Rhinolophus ferrumequinum: one gene and its partners. The protein of the gene in region 3 purifies or fractionates together with the protein of the main gene of each other region. This does not show direct contact. Links are inferred from orthologs where the notes say so. Each region holds a gene or a part of one and is shown on either strand. Other genes may lie near its edges.

What was found. The genes of interacting proteins can lie anywhere in the genome.
Region 1: the proteins of HDAC1 (region 3) and TNRC18 purify together in Homo sapiens (co-immunoprecipitation; 4 studies listed by BioGRID and IntAct, counting the BioPlex papers as one, with this or other methods). This does not show direct contact. The link is inferred for Rhinolophus ferrumequinum from reciprocal best matches to the Homo sapiens genes HDAC1 and TNRC18.
Region 2: the proteins of HDAC1 (region 3) and core histone macro-H2A.1 purify together in Homo sapiens (affinity purification with western blotting; 3 studies listed by BioGRID, with this or other methods). This does not show direct contact. The link is inferred for Rhinolophus ferrumequinum from reciprocal best matches to the Homo sapiens genes HDAC1 and MACROH2A1.

The regions. Positions count from the first base shown.
Region 1 is NC_046307.1:41,655,961-41,664,041, forward strand, and holds the start of TNRC18 (trinucleotide repeat-containing gene 18 protein), read left to right. Parts: upstream 1-5,076; 5' UTR 5,077-5,450; intron 5,451-6,587; exon of another isoform or gene 6,588-7,002; intron 7,003-7,333; 5' UTR 7,334-7,553; coding exon 7,554-7,740; intron 7,741-8,081.
Region 2 is NC_046307.1:11,097,174-11,104,447, reverse strand, and holds the start of core histone macro-H2A.1, read left to right. Parts: upstream 1-4,269; 5' UTR 4,270-4,378; intron 4,379-4,978; exon of another isoform or gene 4,979-5,081; intron 5,082-7,274. UniProt on the Homo sapiens protein: Variant histone H2A which replaces conventional H2A in a subset of nucleosomes where it represses transcription. Nucleosomes wrap and compact DNA into chromatin, limiting DNA accessibility to the cellular machineries which require DNA as a template.
Region 3 is NC_046292.1:22,159,075-22,166,027, reverse strand, and holds the start of HDAC1 (histone deacetylase 1), read right to left. Parts: upstream 3,097-6,953; 5' UTR 2,989-3,096; coding exon 2,940-2,988; intron 1-2,939. UniProt on the Homo sapiens protein: Histone deacetylase that catalyzes the deacetylation of lysine residues on the N-terminal part of the core histones (H2A, H2B, H3 and H4).

The sequences.
Region 1 (8,081 bases), on a different chromosome or scaffold from region 3:
ATGGCCTGCTAGGCTGATGGAGGACAGCAGCATGAAGGCCTGTTCCCCGCCTCTCTGGCAAAGAAACAATGCTGGTGACATTAAGCGTTATTATTGCAAATGCACCCTCTCTGGGCCCCCCTTTACTGTTCGGGTAGAAAGACTACCTCCCCTACTAAGCTGCTACCATCGCCCGACCGATTCCTGCTTCCCCGATAGTTCGGCTATTTGCACCAAAGCGGGAGGCCAACGAGGGCACCAATTCCGGGCCGGGTGGAGAAAAGACCGGGGTATCCCCGGCATGGAGGGGAAGATGGGCTGGCGCAGACTGGGGAACCCGATGAGCCCTGGCCTCCAGGCACAGCACTCGCAAACAACCTGCTTGGTCCTCGCTCTGGAAAAAAAAAAAAGCCCCCTTTCCCGCATCCTGCGCCCGCAGAAGGCTCCAAGGGCAGAAGGACGACTCGGGATTAAAGCAGGGTCTACGAAGAGGGGTGGCAGGCTGAGTTCTAAATGCCATTCGGACGCTGACTCTGGCGTCGCCCCTAGATGTTGCGGGTGGCTTCGACCCCATCCCACCCTCACCGAGCCTTCCTTGGATTACGTGCCGAGCCGGCGCGCCCTGACCCCAGGCGGCGATCCGGTGAGGCCCGGACCGCCTCTGGGTCCAGCGACTGCGGGGATGGATGTGGTGGCACCGAGAAGTCGAGGCGGTTCCCTCTCTTTGGCGAAGGGGGAAGCTCCTGGCTTGACACCTCGTGGTCTCTGGACTCCCGAGGCCGTGACTAGGAGATCAGGGAGCCCAGCGAGGCCTGGGACGCAAGGCCAGCCGAGAGCCCTCGCGCCTGAGCTGCGAGGAGGGCCGGCGAGGAGATTTATGGCCACAGCCGGCCCCCTGCGCACTGAGCGCGTCTCCGTCCTCTACCAGCCAAACAGTGGAGTGGAAGACCCGACCCGGGCCGGGGAAGAAGCCAGGGCCGGAGGCGGAGCCGACAGGCACCCGGACCCGCCGGGGTCCGGCTTGGAGCTTCAGCTCCAGCTCTGCCAGCTGTGCGCCTTGGTCCCGACGGCGTGCGGGGCTCTGGCGCCGCGTCCTTGGTCTTTCTGGTGGGTCGGGGTTGCTCTCGGCTGCGTTGGCCGAACCTTGGCTTAGCACCGAATCCTGGCTGGGCCAGTCCCAGCACGGGGATGGCGAGCTTGACTTTCCCAGGCGCAGCCTCTCCAGGTTTTAGCGGCGCCCGGGCCGGGCGCTCCCTGGTTGCGGGACCTGGGACCTGGACACTGGCGCTTAAAAGACCCGGCCAGAGCTTCATGAGCGAGCAGCAGAGGCCGGCGAATGCTCGGTACCTGGGCTAAGAGTCTGGTGGAGTGCGGGGACTTCGGTCTCCACCGGGGAAAAGGCGGCTCGGGGGGACGGGTGGAAATGGCTCAAGTGTCCGTGCCTAGTAAAGGGTGCGGTTTTTTTGGGGGTGAGAAGGAGTAAGGGAAAATCGTGTCCATGGGCCAGCAACCCCAGGGTTCCAGGAAGCGCCGGGTTTGTCCCTGAATAGAGGGGCTGAGCCGGCTGGACAAAGGCACAGCCGGGGAGAACTGGACTCAAGATTGTTCTGTCCTTTGGTTTTAAAACGAAGGGGAAGAATTTTGTCAGTCTGGCCGTTACGGAGCCGGAACCGGCGACCTGGGAACATACAAAAGGCCTCGGCTCTGGAGGCCCAGGCTGTCCACCGACAACAGCACTGGCCTGGGCGGGTTCTCCGCGAACTGCGGTTTGAGGTTTCGAGGTCCTCCCTCCAGCCGATTTTCCGCCCAGTCAGTACAAAACACACACACACACTCACACACACTCATTCTGCGTCAACACTTTTTGGCCGGGGCTCCCACTGGGTAGACAGAAGTATGTGGGGGGAGGGGACGGAAGATGGCGGCTGGACTGCGCGGCTGTCACCCGCTCCCCTCTGGGCGCCCAGGCCTGGTTTTTACATTTCAGTGTGACCCACCAGAGGAGTGAAGACACCTCCCCAGAGCCCGAAGACGGGCAAGGGATGCGCAGAGTCCCCTACGAGTGGCGAGGGTCTCTGAAGGAGCCCGGCCGGGCTGCGCCTACCACTCGGCTTGGGATCCGTCCTCCGCCCTAAGATGGCTCCCAGCCGCTGTTTACCCAGCGACTGCGGGGCCACCAGGGCGCGGGGCCGGTGAGGGGACAAAGATCAGGGCGGCCGGCTCCTCGGCGTGGCCTGCTAGTGTCCCGACGCATACAGCAGCTCGGAGAACCGGCGCGGCCAGGGTCTGTCCTGTCGTCCCGCCCTGTGGCCAGGAACCGGGAGCCACCGCCTCCGCGTCCCCAAGCCCTGCGTTCCGGGTGCGGGTGTGTGTGCAGGGAGGGCGGCGCGAGGGGGTTGGGGCCCACAAAGGCCGGGGGGCGGTTGGCCGGGGGAGAGGGGAGTCTCGCCTGCACCGAACTGCGGCCCTAATGAAATGCAGGCTCGGTTCGCCACGCCGACGAAGCGCACATTTGGAAATGCTAACGCCATTGGCAAATCCAGGGCAAACAGGCAGAATTTTTATTAGCAACTAAATGATTTATGGCACACATACCCCGCCGTCACAATTACGGCGTCTTGGAGCATCCAGGGGTGAAAACATTAAACATTTATAAAAATAGGCTTTTGTTATTTTCCACCCTGCAAGCCCTTTGTATTCCCCACCCTAGCTTTCTCAAGATAGTTTTTTTTTCCTTGAGCTATATTAAAATAAAGAAAAACATTCCAGATCTAGGGCGGGGATAACGGGGTGGGGGATCAGGGTCTGGCTCCGAATATTGAAGGGCAACGGGGCGGGGGAAGCGAAGGGGGCCCGGGCGTGGGAGGGTTTACTAGGAATCCACAAAGGCCTCTGGATAAGACTCGAGGACGCTCGGCGCCCACCGGGGCTGCGCCCCCACGCACAGCCCCTTCCCTTGCGGTGGCCTCCAGCAACCCAGCGCAGCTCAACTGCGTTTATTTTTTTCTTTAGTCACCCCCTCCCCCAAGGCACACAGGCACAATACCTTTTTCTAACCCCCCTCTCCTCTCCGTCTTTGCTCCTGGCTGTCCCGGGCTGCCACGGGAGCCTCCCGCCGCCCTGGCCGCCACTGAGACTTGAGCGCCCTGCTGCAAGCATGGACACCGCCGCTAGTGCCCTTCGGATCCGGCTATTTTCGTTCCTTTCTTTCCTTCTCACTCCTCCCTCCTCCCGCAGCGGATCTCCAGCTTCCAAAAGAGGGCAGCCTAGAAACCAACGCAGGAGGCTTCTGCAAGGGCAACTTGAAACTGCCCTCAAGAGGCTGAACTTTTTTCCTCAAATTTATACTGGAATTAGACACCCCAGTTCGCTCTCCAAGCCTACCCCCTTTTTTTTCTAAAAGTGGATAAAAGAAAATAGAACGAATGGGCGCTAACTAGCTCATTTTTAATCCCTCCAGAAAAGTTGCCTTAAAAAATGGGTTTAAAAAAATACAGCTATGCGAAAACGCTGAGTCCGCAGCGCAGGGCGAAAGAGCCGGCTCCTCTTGTTTTAATTAAAATCCAGTCACCGCGGTGGCTTCGAGGCAGGATCGGCAAGGATTTTTGCCCTTCCAAGCTTCCTTTTGAGTGTACGTAATGCCCAGCTGGGCATAGGTCCCTGCGGGGCTGCGAAGAGAAGGTGCGGGGGCCGCCAGGGCGGCCCCTTCGACTGCGTCCGCACTTCTTGCGCCCGCAGCCAAGTACGTTGCCGCAGGCAGCTCCCAGCGACTCAACCCAGAAAGGATTTTGCTGAAAGCGCAAAATAAAAGTACGAAGTCTGGGGGATTGAGTCTTCCCTCCCCCTCCGGCCACCACGGCCAGCCAAGCACTTTTTGGGCTTGGCTGCTGCTTCCTCTGAGCTCAACAGATTTTTTTCCCCGGGTCTCGTCCTCCCTGGAGGGGGGCGCCGCGGATGGAAGGCGAGAGAGGCCCCCAGCCAAGAGGTTTTTAATATTACACTTTAATAGGTTTCAGAAGGCCCCGTGGAGAAATGCTAATAGGCTGAAATGTCAGAATCGAGAGGGAATCAGTTCGCGCTCAGCCGATCTAATCCTTTTTTCTGCTTTCTTTGGGGAGGGGGGAAGGGGTGAGGTGCGCCCACGCCAAGAGAGGCTTTGGGGAGGAGCGCGCGGTGCAAAGCGCCGCAGCTCCGGTCGGGGCTGAGCGGGGGGCGCGCCCCGACCCGCGTTTCTATAGGAACCCCTTTTAGAAGATTAGAGACTCACCCGCTGCCCGCCGCCGCGGCCTCTCCAAAATATTAATCAGTAACCACCTGACACCGCATTTCAGGGAGGGACCTGCAGGCCGGGGCTAGGAAAACGGCCTTCTCGCCTGCCCATCCCACCCAACCGCGCTGCTGGGGGAGAGGGAATGAATCGCTGCTTTGTTTTGAAGGCGGGTTGAGGGGGGAGGAAAAAGCAGCCCTTGTCTGTTTTGGAGTCGCCACCGCGCGTTCTAGAAGGCGCGCCCCAGGGGAGGTTGGGGGCCGGGGCCAGGCGCGGGGTGCAGCCCCCGGGGCCCCAAGCTCTTCTCGGCTCGCTCGGCTTGTCACCTTCTCCTGCGAGCAGGAAGCTGACAGGCAGCCTATTAAACCGCGCCTTGCAAAGCCCTGGATTGCGGCGACAACCATCTTCCTCTATTTTGATCACTCAGCCCAGACGCTGGGAGGGAGGGGAGGAAAAGGGAGGAGAAGGAGGAAGGGGGGGGTCTGAGCTGGTGGAGGGGGAGGGCTGCCTAGAAACGGCCCGGAAAAATTCTCACCACCAGTTTTGATCATTCAGCCCCGCCGAGGGGAGCCTGGAAACTGCTGGAGCCCCTTGGTCCGTAATTGGTTTTATAGGAATGGCTGAGGGCCAAGGTGTTTACATGAGCGGGATTGGCGGCGCGCGCGGCCAATGGGTGGCAGCTGGAGGCCGGCCTCGGGGGGAGGCGGGCACCCGGGAACAATGCGTGTTTCTTCGGCGGAGAGTGTTCCCCTCCCCCAGTCACCCCCTCCCCCCCGCTGGTTTTTTTTTTTTTTTTTTTTTTTTTTTTTTAGATCCAACGAGAGGAACTTGAAAGGGGGGTTGTGTAATGTACCTTTTCCAATCCCGGGCTGTATATGGAGATTTGGGATTCTTTAAACCGGCGCTACCTGGATTTTATTAAAAAGCGGGGAGCTCGGCGGGAGGAAAGCTGGCTTTTCCGGGGGCTGCGGGAACCCGGCAGCGGGAGGGCGGAGGAGTTGGCGCGCCGAGCCCTCGGCCCGGGGAGCGGTTTTCTACCAAAAAAAGGAAAGGCGGGCAAAAAGTGTGAGGAGGCTGCGGGTGGCGAAGGGGAGCAGCGGCCGCGGGATGGCGGGCTGCAAGGGCGCCTAGCCGCGCCGGGAGCCGGGGCCGCCACCGGAGTCACCGTCGCCGGAGCCCGGAGCAGGGAGTCCCGCCGCGCCAGGTACGCCGCCGGGTCGCCCGCCCGCCCCTGGCCAGGCGCGATGGTCTCCAAACTTCTCCAGCTGCCCCCCCAACCTGCCTCCCACTCGGGGTGCTCCGGGGGATCCCCGCAGCTTTCCAGCCCCCGAGAATGGAATGGGGACAAGGGCCGGCGAGGTGGGGGCGCCCTGGGAAGGGTGGGGGCGAGCCGCTGCGCCCGGAGCACCCACCTGAGCCCCAGCCCCTCTACAACCTGCCCAGCCTGGCCGAGGGGCGTCGGTTCCCTTCTCGGTTCCCGGCACGCGGCGGGGGAGCCAGGGACGCCTAAACGCTTTCGATTATAGGCTGTTTTTAATTAAAAGCCGGAATTCAGCCATTTTAACTGCATTTAAAAGGGAGAAAAAAGTAGGGAGAACGCAGCGGAGCCCGCAGATGGCTGAGCTTGCTTCTCTACCAGAGCGAGGGTTTTCCGGGGGGCTTCACCCCGACTTCTCCAAAGTGGGGCGCCGGGGCATGCCCTGAAGCGCTGGCTTTTAGAAAAGCTACACAAAGAACATTTTTTTAAAAATCACGGAAAGCTCATCGCCTTCTTAAGACATGTATCCTCGGATGTGGCGATCTTAGATTTTTCTAAAGTAAACGCGGATCTGGTAACCAGAGATTGATGGGAAGGAGGGAGAGAAGGGAGGAGGAGGTGGTTGTAACCAAAACCGGGTTAAAATGAGCACCTTTAACAAAGTTGTGGAGGGAGGCTGGAAAAGGAGGCCGGGGGGTTGGCGGTCGAGGGGTCTGCACCTCGCGGCGCGGGACGCAGGGCGGCACCCGGGAGCCGGTGGCTTTGGCGTGATCCGCGGCTCTCGGAGCGCTCCGGTTCCGGCATCAGGAATACAAGCTGCTGTGGGCAGACGGAGAGCGAGGGCAGGGTTGGCTCCAAGACCCTCTCCCGCCCCCACGGGAATCGGCCAACACAAATCTTTTAAACAAACAGCTTTAAACTGGAACTACAGGGGGATTTTCCCAGTGCTGGGGGAGGCGCCCCTCGGTCGGCCCGCGCGGTTCGAGGATTTTCTTTGTAGGTTATTTTGGGGGTTGGGGGAAGCTAGGGTAGGAGCGAGACCCTTGAGCCCTTTCCTTCCCTTCTGACGCCCCTCAAATACCCGCGCCAGGCTACGTCTCGGGCCGTAGGATTCCCAGGCCAGGGCGTTGGAAAATGAAACCAAAGCTTGTTGGGAAGGATTCGTTTCAGTCCTCGGGCGAGAATGCCACGTCTCGGGTCCTCGACTCGGACTCCGATTCAGCGACTCACAGTGGCCTGAGGGGGTGGGGGGCGGCAAGTCTCTTTAAAAATAGTAAAGCCGCTTTGCACCCTTTCTCACGAAAAAACCATGAGTTGGGCGGCTCGGGACGAGCTCAGGGAAACCAAACTCAGGCGAGGGCCCCTAAAGATTAAATATTAAACTTTCCGGGTCAGATAGTGACAGTGTTTAGAGAGACATTGCGAACTGCTCTTGGAAAGGTTTCACGGTTTGAAACCCTGGAGCATGTGACGCCCAGGAATCAAACACACTTCGAAGGTTTGTATTTGCGCCGTCCGGGCGCGGCCGAGGGGCCTTCCTCAGTCCGGGGGGACCCGTGAGCCGCCCGTGCAGAGTCCGGGCTGGGGCGCAGCGGGCAACCCGTCACTTTCCGAGCCCCGGCCGGGGAGCCTGAAGCCACCGGAGGAAAGAAAATGGATTTTTACTTTTTATGGAAAATGGGCTATTCCCGATTTCGTTTCTGGCCACCACATCGGCAGCCCCTGACACCGAACGGCAAGACGACTTTCTGAAACTTGTTTTTTTTTCTTCCCCTTTTTCCTTTTCTCCCCTCTGTTTATTCCGCGGCCTTTCTCCTCTCCCCGCCAAGACGCTGTGTGCGCCTCCTCGCTCAGCTCTGCCTGGTCGCCGGGAGGGGCCCCACCTCCGGCCGCCTGTGCGTCCTGGGCCGCGGGCCCGCCGCCGCCATGCACGCCGCGGAGCCCCCGCTACCCGAGGACTCTGGGACTACGCTGAGGCCGAACTTTTAGGTCCCGCTGAACGAGGCCAGCGGGCCGGGTGGGGGGCTGGCCGCGGCACTCCCGCGGAGGATGGATGGCCGAGACTTTGGGCCTCCGCGGTCCGTGCACGGCCCCCCGCCGCCGCTGCTGTCCGGCCTGGCGATGGACAGCCACCGCGTGGGTGCGGCCACGGCCGGACGCCTGCCCGCTTCGGGCTTGCAGGGCCCGCTGCCGCCTGGGAAGTACATGGCCGGCCTCAACCTCCACCCGCACCCGGGTAAGTACTCTGTGCCTTGTCAGCCCCCGCTCCCCCCACCAGATCCAAGGAGGGAGGCCCCGGAAATACATCTGGGTTTGTTCCCCGGCGTTCGCTACGGTGGCGCGGCGCCTCCCTCTCGGCCTGTCCACCGGGGTGCGAGCAGTCTCGGCTCTCGGGGCGGAGAGACCCCTGGGCCCAGGGCAGAGGCCGGTCGGGAGGCGCCCGCGGACAGGGGCGCGCTGCTCCGCTGCCTCCCCTGGCGCGCGGTTTCTTACCAGTCTGCGGAAATTGGAGCCATCTGGGGCGAATGCAACCCCCGAGCCCCTGCGGCTGAAGCTGGGCTGGAGTTTTCAAAATCT
Region 2 (7,274 bases), on a different chromosome or scaffold from region 3:
TGGTTGATGAAGGTGATGTAAAGGAGTTTTGAGGCCTCTTTAAAGAAGAAAAAACTGAGAGAATTAGTTGCCAGCAAGTCTATTAATAGAAGCACTAATGGTAGTGTTTTTCTTGGGGCGGGGGGGGGGGCAAAATAAAAATGACCCACATGGAAACAGGTATACAAGGAGAATGAAAAGCACCAGGAAGTGTAAATATATGGGTAAACATGACATAATTGTACCAAATAATTCTAGTAATGTTATGGAGTTTAAAATGTAGAATAGAAGATTCATGAGAATAATACAAAGTTGAGACAGTTAAAAGATTGTAAGTTGAAATATTCTAAGGTCTTGAAATGATTGGGAAGATAAGAAAAGCAATTTCTTAGTTATACGTCAAGGACTCATCTTGTAATGTCTATAGTAATTTGTTACAACAGTAATAGGGAATTAATATAGTATCCACTGATGATTTTTGCTGAAACTAATCTTTACTATGACGGTTATAATGTGCTGATTTTCCAACTCCAGCACTCCCTCTACCTTTAGTAGTTACCATTCAACATTCTTCTAAAGGAAGAGAACTTCTTTCCTCACCTTTATAAATAAATACATACTGGGGGTGCCAAAAAAATGTATGCACATGACTTGTATTCATCTTTTGTTATCGATATATATTGACTATTACAATTTTAAAACCGTTTTTTCCTTTCTTAAAATGTGTATAGATTTTTTTTGGCAACCTCTGTACATCTGCTATGGACTGAATTGTGTCCCCCCCTCACTTCCCAAATACATATTGAAGCCTTTACCCGCAATGAGGTCATAGGATGGGGCCCTAACCCAATAAGATTAGTGTCTTTATAAGAAGAAGAGACACCAGAGCTTATGTTTTCTCTCTCTCTCTCTCTCTCTCTCTCTCTCTCTCTCTCTCTCTCTCTCTCTCTCTCCCTGTCTCTTTACACACACACACACACAGGAAAGGTCATATGAGGACAAATGGCAGTGTGCTCTGAAAGAGAGCTTTCACCATAGACTGAACTGTACCAGAATCTTGATCTTGGACTTTCCAGCCTTTAGGAACTGGGAGAAAATTCTATTATTTAGGTCACCCAGACTATGATATTTTGTTAGGGCAGCTTGAGCAGATTAAGACAGAGACAATAGCTTTATGTGTGTTATATTTTGCCAATATTTCCTTCTAGTTTGTCACTTGGCTTTTGACTTTCTTACGGTGTTTTCTTTTCTATGCAAAAGTTTTGTTTTGTTTTTAATGTAGTCAAGGTAGGAGTATTACAATAATTTTGCAGATAATTTTGGATATTGTTCTCTGATTCTACACCAAGACTCAACAAATGGTAGTTTCTTAAACATTAATAGTTATGTAGAATATTAAAATATATTACTGAACTTTTCATACTGTGACATTAAATCCGTTGGTTTATCTTGAATTTTGAATGGATTTTTAAAAACCTATGCATGATGTTGTAGCATCATACATTAGTGATTTGGAAAATATTGGTTCACTAAATTGTACTATCATATGTATCACTAAGATATATAAAATCTTTCCAAATGTTGACTGATTTTATCACACAACATCAAAAAATCATATTGGTTAAAACTACCACCAATCTCATCAGGAAAGTTTTTAAGTATTGGGAAGCTGTCAAGCTCATGATGGCAGATACAAGCTTTTAAAAAATTTCAAAATCTGCTTCCTTAGGATATTTTTAATTCTTTCCTTTTTTAAAATTGCATTTATTGGGCCGGCCCAGTGGCTCAGGCGGTTGGAGCTCCCTGCTCCTAACTCTGAAGGCTGCCGGTTCGATTCCCACATGGGCCAGTGGGCTCTCAACCACTATGTTGGCAGTTCAATTCCTTGAGTCCCACAAGGGATGGTGGGCAGCGCCCCCTGCAACTAGTAACGGCAACTGGACCTGGAGGCAACTGGACCTGGAGCCGAGCTGCGTCCTCCACAACTAAGACTGAAAGGACAACAACTTGAAGCTGAATGGCACCCTCCACCACTAAGATTGAAAGGACAACAACTTGACTTGGAAAAAAAAATTACATTTACTGTGGTGACAATGGTTAGTAAAATCACATAGATTTCAAGTATATAATTCTATACTACATCATCTGTATATCACATTGTGTGCTCACCACCCAGTCAGTTCTCCTTCCATCACCACATATTCATTTTTAATTCTTAAGCGATACATAAGATAGTATAATTGAGTAAACCAGTATTTTTCAAATCACTAATGTATGATGCTACAACATCATGCGTAGGTTTTAAAACTCTGTTGTGTGTGTGTGTGTTTTGCAGTTTTACCTACCAGTGCATTTTTTTATCATCATTGCAAATGTCAACATAGTGAAAACGGCAAATAAGGCCTTAGTATTATTATTGTGAAAGTAGTTTTGACCCACAGACCCCCATGAAAGGATCTCAGGGACCTCACAGTGGTCTGTGGAACACACTTTGAGTAGTAATTCTCTACGGGTAGCCTAAATCCTTCAAACTGTTACTTTCAGTTCAGCTCCACCTTGGGAGGCGGGGAGGGTGGGGGAGGGATTTAAATTCAGAGATGTCTCTAGGCCTGAAGAGCATAATACAGCCCTCCTTCTCCCAACATACACCCAGGATGGTTTTCCTTGGCTCCTTTGTTATTACTTATTAAGGGTAAATATTCACCTGTACTTCTCCAAGAGAAGCGCATTAACTGTTTAACAAAGACAGGAGGGATTGGGAGTTGTTGAAAAGGAGAGAACGTGTCAGACTTTGCTGCCAATTGCTGATCAAAGAGAGAGAAAGGAAGAGAACTTATCTCTGAAGTGATCAAGTCAGGAAGAAAGGCTCCAACCTGCAGAGATGACGCATGTATCTGTTCCGTGGAAAACAGCACGTCTGTTTGTGGGGCAGATGACGGTGGAGAGAAGTTTACCAGATTCTTTCTTTCCTGGAATCCCCTCACTCCTTCACATATACTCACTCCTCTTAGCTTGATGTGTGTTGATCAAAAACTTAGGAACTAACTGGAGACCCACCCTGCCCTTCCACAAACATGGGCAAGCTAAACTCAGAGACTGGTGACACCCCACTGTTTAACTCTCAGATCATCAAAGGTCTTAGAGAACATTCAGGGTGGGGCAAAGAGGTGCTGAGGAAATGCAGGAATGCTCAGGCCTGCCCTGCCCACTGGCGGTGCTCTGCCTGGACTTCTCTTCTCGGGGAGGGCCCTTTGACTATCTGTGATAAAGCTTTCAAACTTTGATCCAGCAGTTCCACTCCTACGAACTTATCCTCAACAGTCAGATGTGCACAAATGTGTATCTCTAAGGATATTCATCAGGTCTTTATAATAGAGTTGGAAACAGTCTGAAAAAAAAACAACCACAAGAAGAAACTGGTAAAATATACAGTGGTATGTATATTTAACAGGATACTTGGAACAGTGGTTCCAAAATGAGGTCTGCAGACCCTTGAAGGTCACTGAGACCCTTTCCTGGGATCCACAAGGTCCAAGTTTTTCATAATAATGCTAAGACATTATTTAGCTTTTTCATTGTCTTGATCTTTGCACCAATGGTGCAAAAACAATAATGGGCAAAACTGCTGGTGAATTGGCACAGATCAGCTCTGGCACCGAACTCTACTCATAATCATTTTATTCTTTATTGCCAAGCACTCAGAGAAAAAAAAATCCGAATAGTTTCACTTAAGAATGTCCTTGATGAAGCAGTAGAAAGTATTAATTTTTTTTGAAACTCCACCCCACTGCCTCATCTTCATTACCCAAATTTGTGCATGGCCCAAAGTATGACTTTACTACTCAACTGAATTAATGAATCCATAAATGGCTTGTATTGGTCTCCGCTTTGCAAACTTTTCAAGTCGGGTGTAAAGCATGCTAAAGGGAGGTTACCACCGGTGCTCTAGGGGGCAGCCTGAGGGCTAGGAGGGATCTTTGAGCAGCGGTACCTTGAACCTCACAACAACTCTGCAGGGTGTATATTGTTATCTAAATTTGGTCCACAGCTAGGTGCTCAGGTAGCTTCCCCTCTACACTTAGGGAGAGGGGAGAAGTGGTTAAGTCCCCTATTTAAGTACCCGGGATGGGGCACTAACGCCTTCGGGAGAGAAACCAATCCAGGAACTCAGAGATGATCTTTACAGCGGCCCTCCTCTTTCTGCTTGTCTGCAGTTTTAAAACCTGAGTGTGATAAGGAATCACTGTTTACATTAGTGACTCTCAACGGTTCTATCGTGAACGTTTCCTGAATCGAAGTAACTAACGGCTTCCGTGTGCAAAGCAAGTCCAGACTTCTGGGGGTCACGATGCAGAACCAGGGCAGTGGAAGTGCAATAGTTGATGATGGGGAAGAAAAGGTTTGCTGGAGGCTTGTATCTACAGACAGCGGGGGGCTCTGAGGTGCGCGGGAGGTCTGCATTGGTTAGGGAGGGAAAAGTGCTTGCTGGTAACAGCAGTTGTGTCTCCCTCCCTGGGTTAATAGGATGGCTTCTAGGGATGAGTCCCATGCTGAGGGCCAGGCACACAGTAGGCGTTCCAATAAGTGTCACTCGAAACACACAGGCTGAGACGCGCGCTGGATGCCGCTCTGCCGGGGCACCTCTGCTCAGGGCGCGCCCGGGGATCGGGTGGACCCTGCATCCGGCGTCCAGCATCAGGGCCCGAATGCCTGAGCGCAGAGGGCCGGACCCATGCAGCTGGGGGACAGACCGACCAGCGTCCAAGTTGCAGAGCGCCGAAGGCTCGGGAGCGATCAGCCGCGGGGTTGGGGTCAAGGCCGGGACGGCGCGGGAGGGGGGGACGGACGCGGAGGGACGGGATGGGATGTGACGAGCGGCGCGCTGTGCATTATGGGAATCCCGGGGCCGCGGCGACTGGTTCCAGTTCACTCGGCAGCGGAGCCGGGCGGAGGGGGCGAGCGCGGGGCGCGCGGGCGGGAAGCGAGGAGGCGGGCGGGCGGGCGGGCGGGCGGGCCAGCGAGGAGCGCGGAGAGAAAAGGCGCGAGCGGCCAAGAGGGCACAGGCCGGACACCTTGCTGCTGCCGCCGCCGCTGAGCCGCCTGTAAGTGCCGCGCGGACCCCCTCGCCACGCGCCCCGTCCCCGCCGTCCGGGTCCGGCCGCCGCGCTCTTCCGGCTGCGGGTGCCTGCGAGCGGCCGGGCCTGGCGCTCACCTCGGGCCGCCGGGCTCGGCGCGGCCCACGGCAGAGCCTCGCGCACACGGCGCCCTCCCAGGCCCTGCCTGTGCCGTGCGGGATTCCCTTTGGTTTTGTTCAAAAAGCAAACCCGGAAGCCAACTTCTCACAACCGCGTCCTCCTGCCCGGGCGCTTTTGTGGGAAGGAGACAGTTGGGGCCCCTCCCTGGGCGACCCTGCCCCGGGTGGACGGGCCGACGGCTGGGCCTGGGGCCGGAGGAGGCCCCGCGGCACTGGCTGGCCGGCCAGGGCCCGGGCGCCCGGGTGCGGTTGTGCGCGGAGTTGGACTTGGTGAAGCCACGCCAGCCCAGCCCGCGAGTTGCCCCGCACAATAAGTCGGGCCCGAGACCCAGGTGGCCGCGGTGTAGGCGCCTGGCTCTGTAGGTGCTGGGAGGGCAGGGTGCTGGGGTGCGGGATACTCGCGGGACTGGAGCCAGGCCGAGGAGGGGTAGGGGTTGTCCAGGGACTGGCTGGAGAGGGGCCACGGGGACCCCTGCCTCTCTAGCTGGGCTCCTGAGCGGCCTTTTGTTTGCTTTGTGGTTGGGAGTTGTGGTTTTTTTAAGGTGACTCCGGAAGACTGCAGGCTTCCCGGGTGGACAAGGCCAGAAGAGACTCGCTGAGGGTGGGGTGGCGTGGGGGTGGCGAGAGGAGTCCGCAGGATGCTGCTGGCCGGGTCACCAGACAACAGGTGTGTGGATGGTGTGCGCCCACCTCCACTCCTGCAGGGACCACAGATCACTCCAGGATCTTGTCAGTAGATTGCTTGGAAGGTTCTTTTAGACGACAAGATGCTAGGGGAAATATTCCCTAACATCTGAAAGTGAGAGGCTTCTGTAGAAATAGCTGAGACAGACCTTGAATTGGGCAGTTAACCATTACCATGAAGTTCTTGTAAGATTTCAATGATTCGATAAAAAGCGTCTAAGAGTAAGACAGTGAGAGGGGCACTCCTGCTAGCTTCTCTTTTTCCTCCACCTTTGTGGTTTGAGGTTTTACATTCAAGAGTGGGGAAGTGCTTTGTTCTAAGGCTCCCTGCTCCAGGGACTCTGGGAATTTTGACCAGCTTTAGGTTTGAGTGGGAGGCCCCAGTTGTAAATTAGATGGCACCTACCTACTGCAGGCCACCTTTAGGGTACTCGGCTGTCAGAGGAGTTATTGGCTCTGAAACGGGACACCTCACGCCTGCAACTGGAATTGATACCCCTTGAGCACAACTAACTACAGTTGGCCAGGAGCATCTCCATCTTGCACAAGAGGCTCTCCGATGAGGAGAAATATGTTTTTAAACCTATTTTCTTTCTTTTTCAAGCCCCCAAGACTTTCAATTCTAACCCCCCTGTAGTTTTAGGAGAGTGAGAAATCTCTCCACTCTGTTTTGTTTTAATCTGTTACCATTGTTAATAGTTGTAAAGTTATTAAGGCGGAGGGAAGAAGTTAAAGTAAGTGAACATTGTTTGAGGCAGGGCCTTTAGAATGAGGAAGGAATAGTTCACATTTTACTAAACTTTGAGAGTTGTCTGGACCATCATATGTGACTGTAATACACCACCAGAAGTCACTGGCTTGGTCTGTACCAAATGGGCCAGGGTCAGGGAGTGGTGCATCTCCGCCTGCCATTTCTTCTCGTCCTGGAGACGGCAGAACTCTGGGAGAGCCCTCATTCTTTCCCCAGAGAGGCTTGGAGTACATGTATTCTAGTATTTGCAGAACTAATGCTGCCCCAAGTCATTTAAAGGAGATTTATTTAAATAAAGAAAAGCACAAACTGAAAACCCCAAGCTGACAAAACCCAACAATAATCTGGATGTTGTGTTCATCAGAACAGCAGCCTGTAGTTCTCTTTTGAGTGTGCCTTTGAACTTCTGTGGGGTTTCTCAGAACCCCATTCTTGGCACATGGGCTGGGGAGGGACAGGAGTAAGGGGGGCTCATACCTGTCCTATGGGTCTTCCCCACGTTCTGTAGGTTTAGAAGTACATCGGGCCCCACCGCAGCTCTTGTGAGTGTGAGCCCGACTGGGTCAGCCCTTCATACCAAAGAGTTGTGTAGATGTTTTGCTTGGT
Region 3 (6,953 bases):
GCTTCTGAGTGGCAGAGCCAAATTTGAGTCCCAAGTTAGTGACCTCACTGCAAAACTGTTTCTTAAAAGTAAGAAGTCTGCGGCCAGATGGCTCAGCTGGTTAGAGCGCAAACTCTGAACAGCAGGGTTGCCGGTTCAATTCCCCCATGGGATGGATGATGGGCTGCGCCCCGGGCAACTAAAGACTGGAAACGACAACTGGACTTGGAGCTGAGCTGCACCCTCCACCACTAGATTGAAGGACAATGACTTGGAGCTGATGGGCCCTGGAGAAACACACTGCTCCCCAATATTCCCCAATAAAATTATATATATAGAAATTATTAAAAAAAAAAAAGTAAGAAGTCTCCCTTCTCTGAACACTGGGTCCCTTCTTTTCTTCTTTTTAAACTGAGAATGTAGAGGTCACAAAACTGTGCAAACTGATACGGTTACAAAGTCAAAGGATCCAGCCTCAAACGTGTCTTCACTACTGCCCAGCAATCCTTCCAAATTTATTTTCCTAGCACCTTCTTTCACAACAGCTATTTAACAGCTAACTCTCTTCAAGATTCCTGCTCTACCAACTGCCCTCAGGAAAAGGAATATTCCCCAACTTCATCTTGAAAACTCCCTCGACTCTCCCCACCAAACTTACCTACATTTGAACTTTTTCTTGCCACTTACCTTCTCACCAAGAAGGAACTTCCTCTTGAAGGCTAGTGTCCCTACCTGTGCTCTGGTGTCCATCTCACCTGGTCTTTTTAGGAACCTCCATCATGACTAGCCCCTCTCCTGTATCTCCAACCTTTCCTCTCTGGCTATTTTCCCTAAGAATTTGAATATGCTCAACTCTCAACCATTACATCTCTCCTTTATCAGCAACCCTCTCTCTGCCCTGGACAAGTTTCATTAAAAAGGGTCCAGCCTGATGTCTCCTCTTCACCCATCCATTCATTCCTCACGCTACAGCAATCTAGCTTCAGTTCCAAACCTAGCACGGGAAACAGTTCTTGCCAACACTTGTCCCTCCCTCTTTTGGCTACTGTAACCCAACACTTTCTGGTTCACTTACATCTCTGGCTATTCCTCTGTATCTTTTTATTCATTTAATCAGCAAGCATTTACTGAGAGCCAACTATGAGTTAAGCACTGTTCTGGGGGAAGAGCATATAGAGGTAGACTAGACATTGTTCCTTTCCCTAAGGCATTTACCATCTGTAAGTATAAAAAAGTAAATGGGTAATTACAATACACAGTGACAAGTGCTATGGCCGGGGAAGTACAGAGCACGAAGGACATTAGACTTTTCCACTTCCTTAGAATTCCACCCTGGATCCTCTTCCGTTCACCCTGTATAACTTCTTGGGTGATGGCATCCTCTTTTGTAACTAAAATTCCCATCTGACAACTATGTATGCTGACGTCTATCAAAAATCTCCTCATTTCTATCTTCTGAACTGCAGACCAGAACGGCTAACTGCCTACTGAACACGATCTAGTTGGATGTCCCCCAGACATCTCAACAAGTATTTCTTGAAGAAAAAAAAAGTTATCAACGGACATGATCTCCTCCACTCGGCATCAAACTGCCCAAACCAGAAACTTGGGATCCTTGCCTTCTTCCTTACCCCAACCTTCATGAATTTAATTTCTGTCCTAGAGCGAGAGTTCTAAGGTAGAAATCTGATGATGTCACTAACCTGCATAAAGCGTCTATGATTCACAAGTGCCCTCAGCATAAAGTCCAACTTCCTTAGGACAGTACGCCCGGCCCTTCGTGACCTAGTCCCTAATGCCTTCTCCAGCCTCATCACCAGCAACCTTTCCCTCACCCCTGTTCCCTCACTTCTACACTCTGCCCTCAAATCTGCGCTTCGGCCCTATGGACACATCCCTGATGCTCTTCAAAGCAGCTGTCCCCTCTCTCCCCTCTAAACTGCTGTCATCTTTGCCTGCCCTGTGCCAGGCTAATAACCCCTGTTCTTCAGATCCCAACTGAGATGGCACCTCCTTCCCTGACTCCTCACACTGGGCTGGGTGCCTCTTCTCCTGTGCCCCGGTAACACTCTGAAAGTTCCTTTATCCCAGCAAGATAACAGAGAGCAGTTCTCTGTCACTGTCTATCTTCCTCTCCAGACGGAGCTGAAGATGGGAAGTGACTCGATCAACTCCATGGCCACCAGCAGCTCAATGCTACCTAGTGCAGAATGAGGTCTCCAGAGAGTGTGGTGACATGAAAAAGTCTGTTTTAACAGCTCGCATCCTTTAGCTTCCAACCCGAGGGACCCCCTTGCCCAGCAGCAACTGCAGGCCCTGCTCAGGGGCTGGGGGAGGGGCAGTGGTGCCGATTAGTTGGTGATTCCTGAAGGACTCTCCCCAAAAAGGATGAGGAAGGAAAGGGGCAGTGAAAAGCCTTTGTACACTCAGCAGGAACACATACCCTTGCACCCCTCCCTCGGATTCTGCCTCCGGCCCTTGGCCTCAGCCTCCCCTCCAGGAGTCCCCTCAAAGTCTCCTCATCAGACGTCTTCCGAATTCCCCACCAAGATCACCTCAGGCGACTCTCTCGGGAGACCTCAGCCTCTTCCCTCAGTCTCGACCTCCTTTCCATTCCTCTGAGCCTCTTCCCTCAGGTCCGACCTCCTTCTCTCAGCTTCCTTCCTCAGCCTTGATCTCCTTTCCTCTGAGCCTCTTCCCTCAGTCTCGACCTCCTTCCTCTGTCCCGACCTCATTCCTCAGCCCAGACTTCCATCCTGAGCCTCCTCCCTCAGTCTCGGCCTCCTTCCTCCCAACCTCCTCCCTCAGCCCGGACCTCCTTTCCCTTCAGCCTCCTCTCTCAGCCTCGTCTTCCTCTCAGCCTCCTCTCTCAGCCTTGCCCCAACGCCTGTCTCTCCCAGCCTCCCGCTCCCGGATCCGGCCCGGCCAGGCCCCGCCCCCGCTGCGAGGACGGTGCTCACCGTCGTAGTAGTAACAGACTTTCCTCTTGGTGCCCTGAGTCTGCGCCATCTTGCTCGCCTCCCGTCCCTCCCGTCCGTCCGTCGGTCCGTCCGGCCTCCCGCCCGCAGCTCTGCTCAGCGTCCGACCCAGGGGGGAGGGGGCGGGCCTCCAGCCCGCCCCGCCCGTCCCCTCCCGGGCTCACCTATAGCCGCGCAGCCCGGGCACCGCTCCAGCCAATCAGCTTACGCAGGGACGGCCCGGAACTCGGCAGGGGGCAAGGGCAGCCCGGAGGAGCCCGGAGAGGCAGCCCAGGGCCCCCTGGGCCTGTACCAAGGTCCGCGACAGGGGGGTGGGGGAGCTGCCCGGGGACCGTACCATTAGTCCCGGGGGAAGAAAGCAGGTCTGTAAACTTCACAGTCCCATTTCGGTGTTGGAGGCGTGCTTGGAGATAAGGGGCCAACTTTGTACAATTTTACACAGAATCCACTGAGGTCTACAGGGGGGAAGTGACTTGCACAAGGTCACTCAGCTAGTGAAAGGGCTGAACGTGGATTATAACTCAGATTTGGAGGAAAGAGAATTAAACTGACAAACGAAATAAAAGTGCTGTGGGCCAAGTACTGTGCAGATTATCTCAATTATTCCTCACAACAGTTTTGGAGGAGGCCTTTTTATCCCCATTTTATAGATAAAGATATTGAAGTTGAGACCTTTGTGACTTGCTCAGACTCACACAATTAGTAATTAAATTCAATTGTTTTCTTTTTCTTGTTTTTTATTAGTTTTTCCTCTAAATTCAATTTTCAATTGTACATATATTTTGAATGCCTATTATACATCAGGGACACTGTAACAACGTGGCAGAACCTAGTCTCTTTCTCCAAGCCTACCTCCCTGATGCAGATGCCCAAGAGGACTGAGGAGTGCTTTTAGCTAGGAGAAAACTGATGGTCCCCTGAACCTGGAGCAGGGTTTCTCTAGCTATTGGAACTATTAACATTTTGGGCTGGATAATTATTTATTGTAGGGGACTGTCCTGTGCACCATAGGATGTTTAACCGCATTCTTGGCCTCTACTCGTTAGATGCCACTGGCACCCTCACCCCAAGATGTGACAACCAAAATTGTCTCCAGACATTGCAAGTCTCCAGGGCAAGGAGGGGAGGGGTTAGAGGAAGTATAAATTGCCCCTCACCCTACACTTGAGACCACTGCACTAGATCAGTCATCAACTGGTCAGTATTGAAAGCTGAAAGGCTGAAAAACACTGTGATGGGCCATTAAAATAACACTAATATTTAGTGAGTGCTTACTATGGGCCAAGTAAGTTACTCACTCATGGTCCTATAGTCAATAATATACAATATGCTTCTTTACATTTAAAGAGTGCTTGGACAATTGGGTTCCTCAGTTGGGAATTGTATTGGGCCATTAATAATGAAGGTAATAAGAGATCTAATACTGGGCAGTTCTATTAAAGAAATAACAAAAGGCCAGGGAATAAACTCTATTCCCAATTTTGTGTTGCTGCTTCCTAGCTAGGAAACTTTCTGGGCCTCCATTTCCCTCTTTGTAAAATGGAGAGGATAAGAAAACAAGTTGACAGACTCTATGGCTGCACAGTTTCCAAAGGAGGTTGTGGGTGTGGCAGCATTTTATAAAATGCAGGACATCACACACTCAAATGCCAACAGAGATCAGGCAGGTGATGTAAATGACTGGATATATATTATATTTACATTGTTTATATTAGTTTGATTCAGGCGCTTTGTTTGCATATTTTTTAATTGAATTCTTTTTCACTCTCTTCAATTGAATTCCTTTTCACTTTCCCCCATCTTTCCACAAACACACTGCCATCTTCAGGTATCTTCAATTTTCTCACTTTTTAATGGAAATGTGGGTGCCAAAAAAATTTCATTTTCCTCTATATTGTAAGAAGAAGAACATGAACATGATGATAAATAGCTGCTAATAGTTTCATTGTCTGGGAGCAAGAGAGAGTGGAGAGTATTCTGGCAAAAGGAGAGCCCATACCCCATCCAAACGGGGTGATCACTACTCAGCTCTAGGACAGATAAGTGCAAGGGAGCCAAACCTTCCTGGTTTTTCAAGAGATACAGAAATCTGGAGATTTATGCAAAATCTATCTAGTTTTATAAATTGACTGCTAATTCAGTCTATTATCAACATAACAGTAAGAGCCATCCTTTAAAATGTAAGTCAGATCATGTCATGGCTCTGCACAAATCCTAGTAAAGCCTCCTCAATATGTCTCCTACAAAGGCCACAAAGCCCCAGAGGATCTATCGCCCTCCTTCAAGCAGCCTTTACTTCTAGAGCTGGCCAGGGAAGCTTCTTCCTCAGGCTGTTTCCTCTGCCCCACCACTCCTCCCCCACACCAGGAGGCTCACTCACTCACTTCCTTCAAATCTTTGCTCAGTCACCTTCTCAATGAGGGCTTCTCAGACCATTGTCTTTAAAAATGTTAACCTCCCCAAACATGACATTCCTAATTCCCCTTACCCAACTCTATTTTCCTCTTAGCACTCATTACCTTGTAGCATACCGTATCATTCACATCTTTGTGATGCTTATTGTCTGTCTTCCCTTGCTAGAATGTACGCTCCACAAAGGCAGAAACTGTTTTATCTACTGTATATCCTGAGCCCAGAACTGTGCCTGGCATACAGTAGATGTTGAATAAATATTTGTTAAATGAGTGAATTAACTCGATGTTTAAAAACATCTTGAAAGTGAATCAAAACACATCTGAAGCCAAATATAGCCCTTGAATCATTAGCATGTAAAAAAATGCTAGGGCCGGCCCAGTGGCTCAGGCGGTTAGAGCTCCATGCTCCTAACTCGGAAGGCTGCCTGTTCAATTCCCGCATGGGCCAGTGGGCTCTCAACCACAAGGTTGCCAGTTCAATTCCTCAAGTCCCGTAAGGGATGGTGGGCTCCGCCCCCTGCAACTAAGATTGAACACGGCACCTTGAGCTGAGCTGCCGCTGAGCTCCCGGAGGGCTCAGTTGGTCAGAGCGCATCCTCTCAACCACAAGGTTGCCAGTTTGACACTTAAGGGATGGTGGGCTGCGCCCCCTGCAACTAGCAACGGCAACTGGACCTGGAGCTGAGCTGCGTCCTCCACAACGAAGACTGAAAGGACAACAACTTGAAGCTGAACGGCACCCTCCACAGCTAAGATTGAAAGGACAACAACTTGACTTGGGAAAAAAAAAAAGTCCTGGAAGTACACACTGTTCCCCAATAAAGTCCTGTTCCCCTTCCCTCCCACGCAAAAAATTGCTATTGCTCTTATGTAATAGGAGGGAGAGGGTCCTGGGATATATACTAGGAGGTTCTAGGTAGGAGTCGCCCTGAAGCCTTTGGGGTGGGGATTTAAAGGGTTTCAAAGAGCCCGTACAGCAAAGAGTCGGGACCTCCTTTTGGCCCCCAGCGTCAGCAGAGCTGGAAAAAGTTCAGACATCCCCTCATCCCATGGTTCACCGCAATTCAGGGTTATCATCTTCTGAACCCCCACTCTCCCCTCCCAAGGAAGAAGAGATAGGAGTGGGGAGCAGAGAGATGTAAAACCTTTATCAACAAACAGACATTTATTGAGCTCCTGATGTGTGACAGGCACCAAGGAGGAGCACACAGAGGTATTAGAAAGGTCTCCCCCTCCAGGAGAGAGATTCTTTAGGACCAGGAGAAAGGCAAAAGGGGTGGGCAGAAGCTGGTGTCAATCACAGGCCTCTCTCCTTTAGTGGTCTCAGGAAGTAGGAGGGCCCAGAGAGGGATAGCTTGGACAGGTGTCCAAGACATATATGTACAGGCCACACATACACAAGGCACATGTGCAGAGCCCACACAACTCAAGAACCTGTGTATAAGACACAAGTGGATGTGTCACATGTAGATAGGATTCACGTGCAGGGTCCATATGTGCATAGGCCACATGGGAACGGCACAAGAACTGCTTCTTCCCCAGCCAGGTTGGCTAGATGCGGGGAGGGCTCCACGTCCCAGCC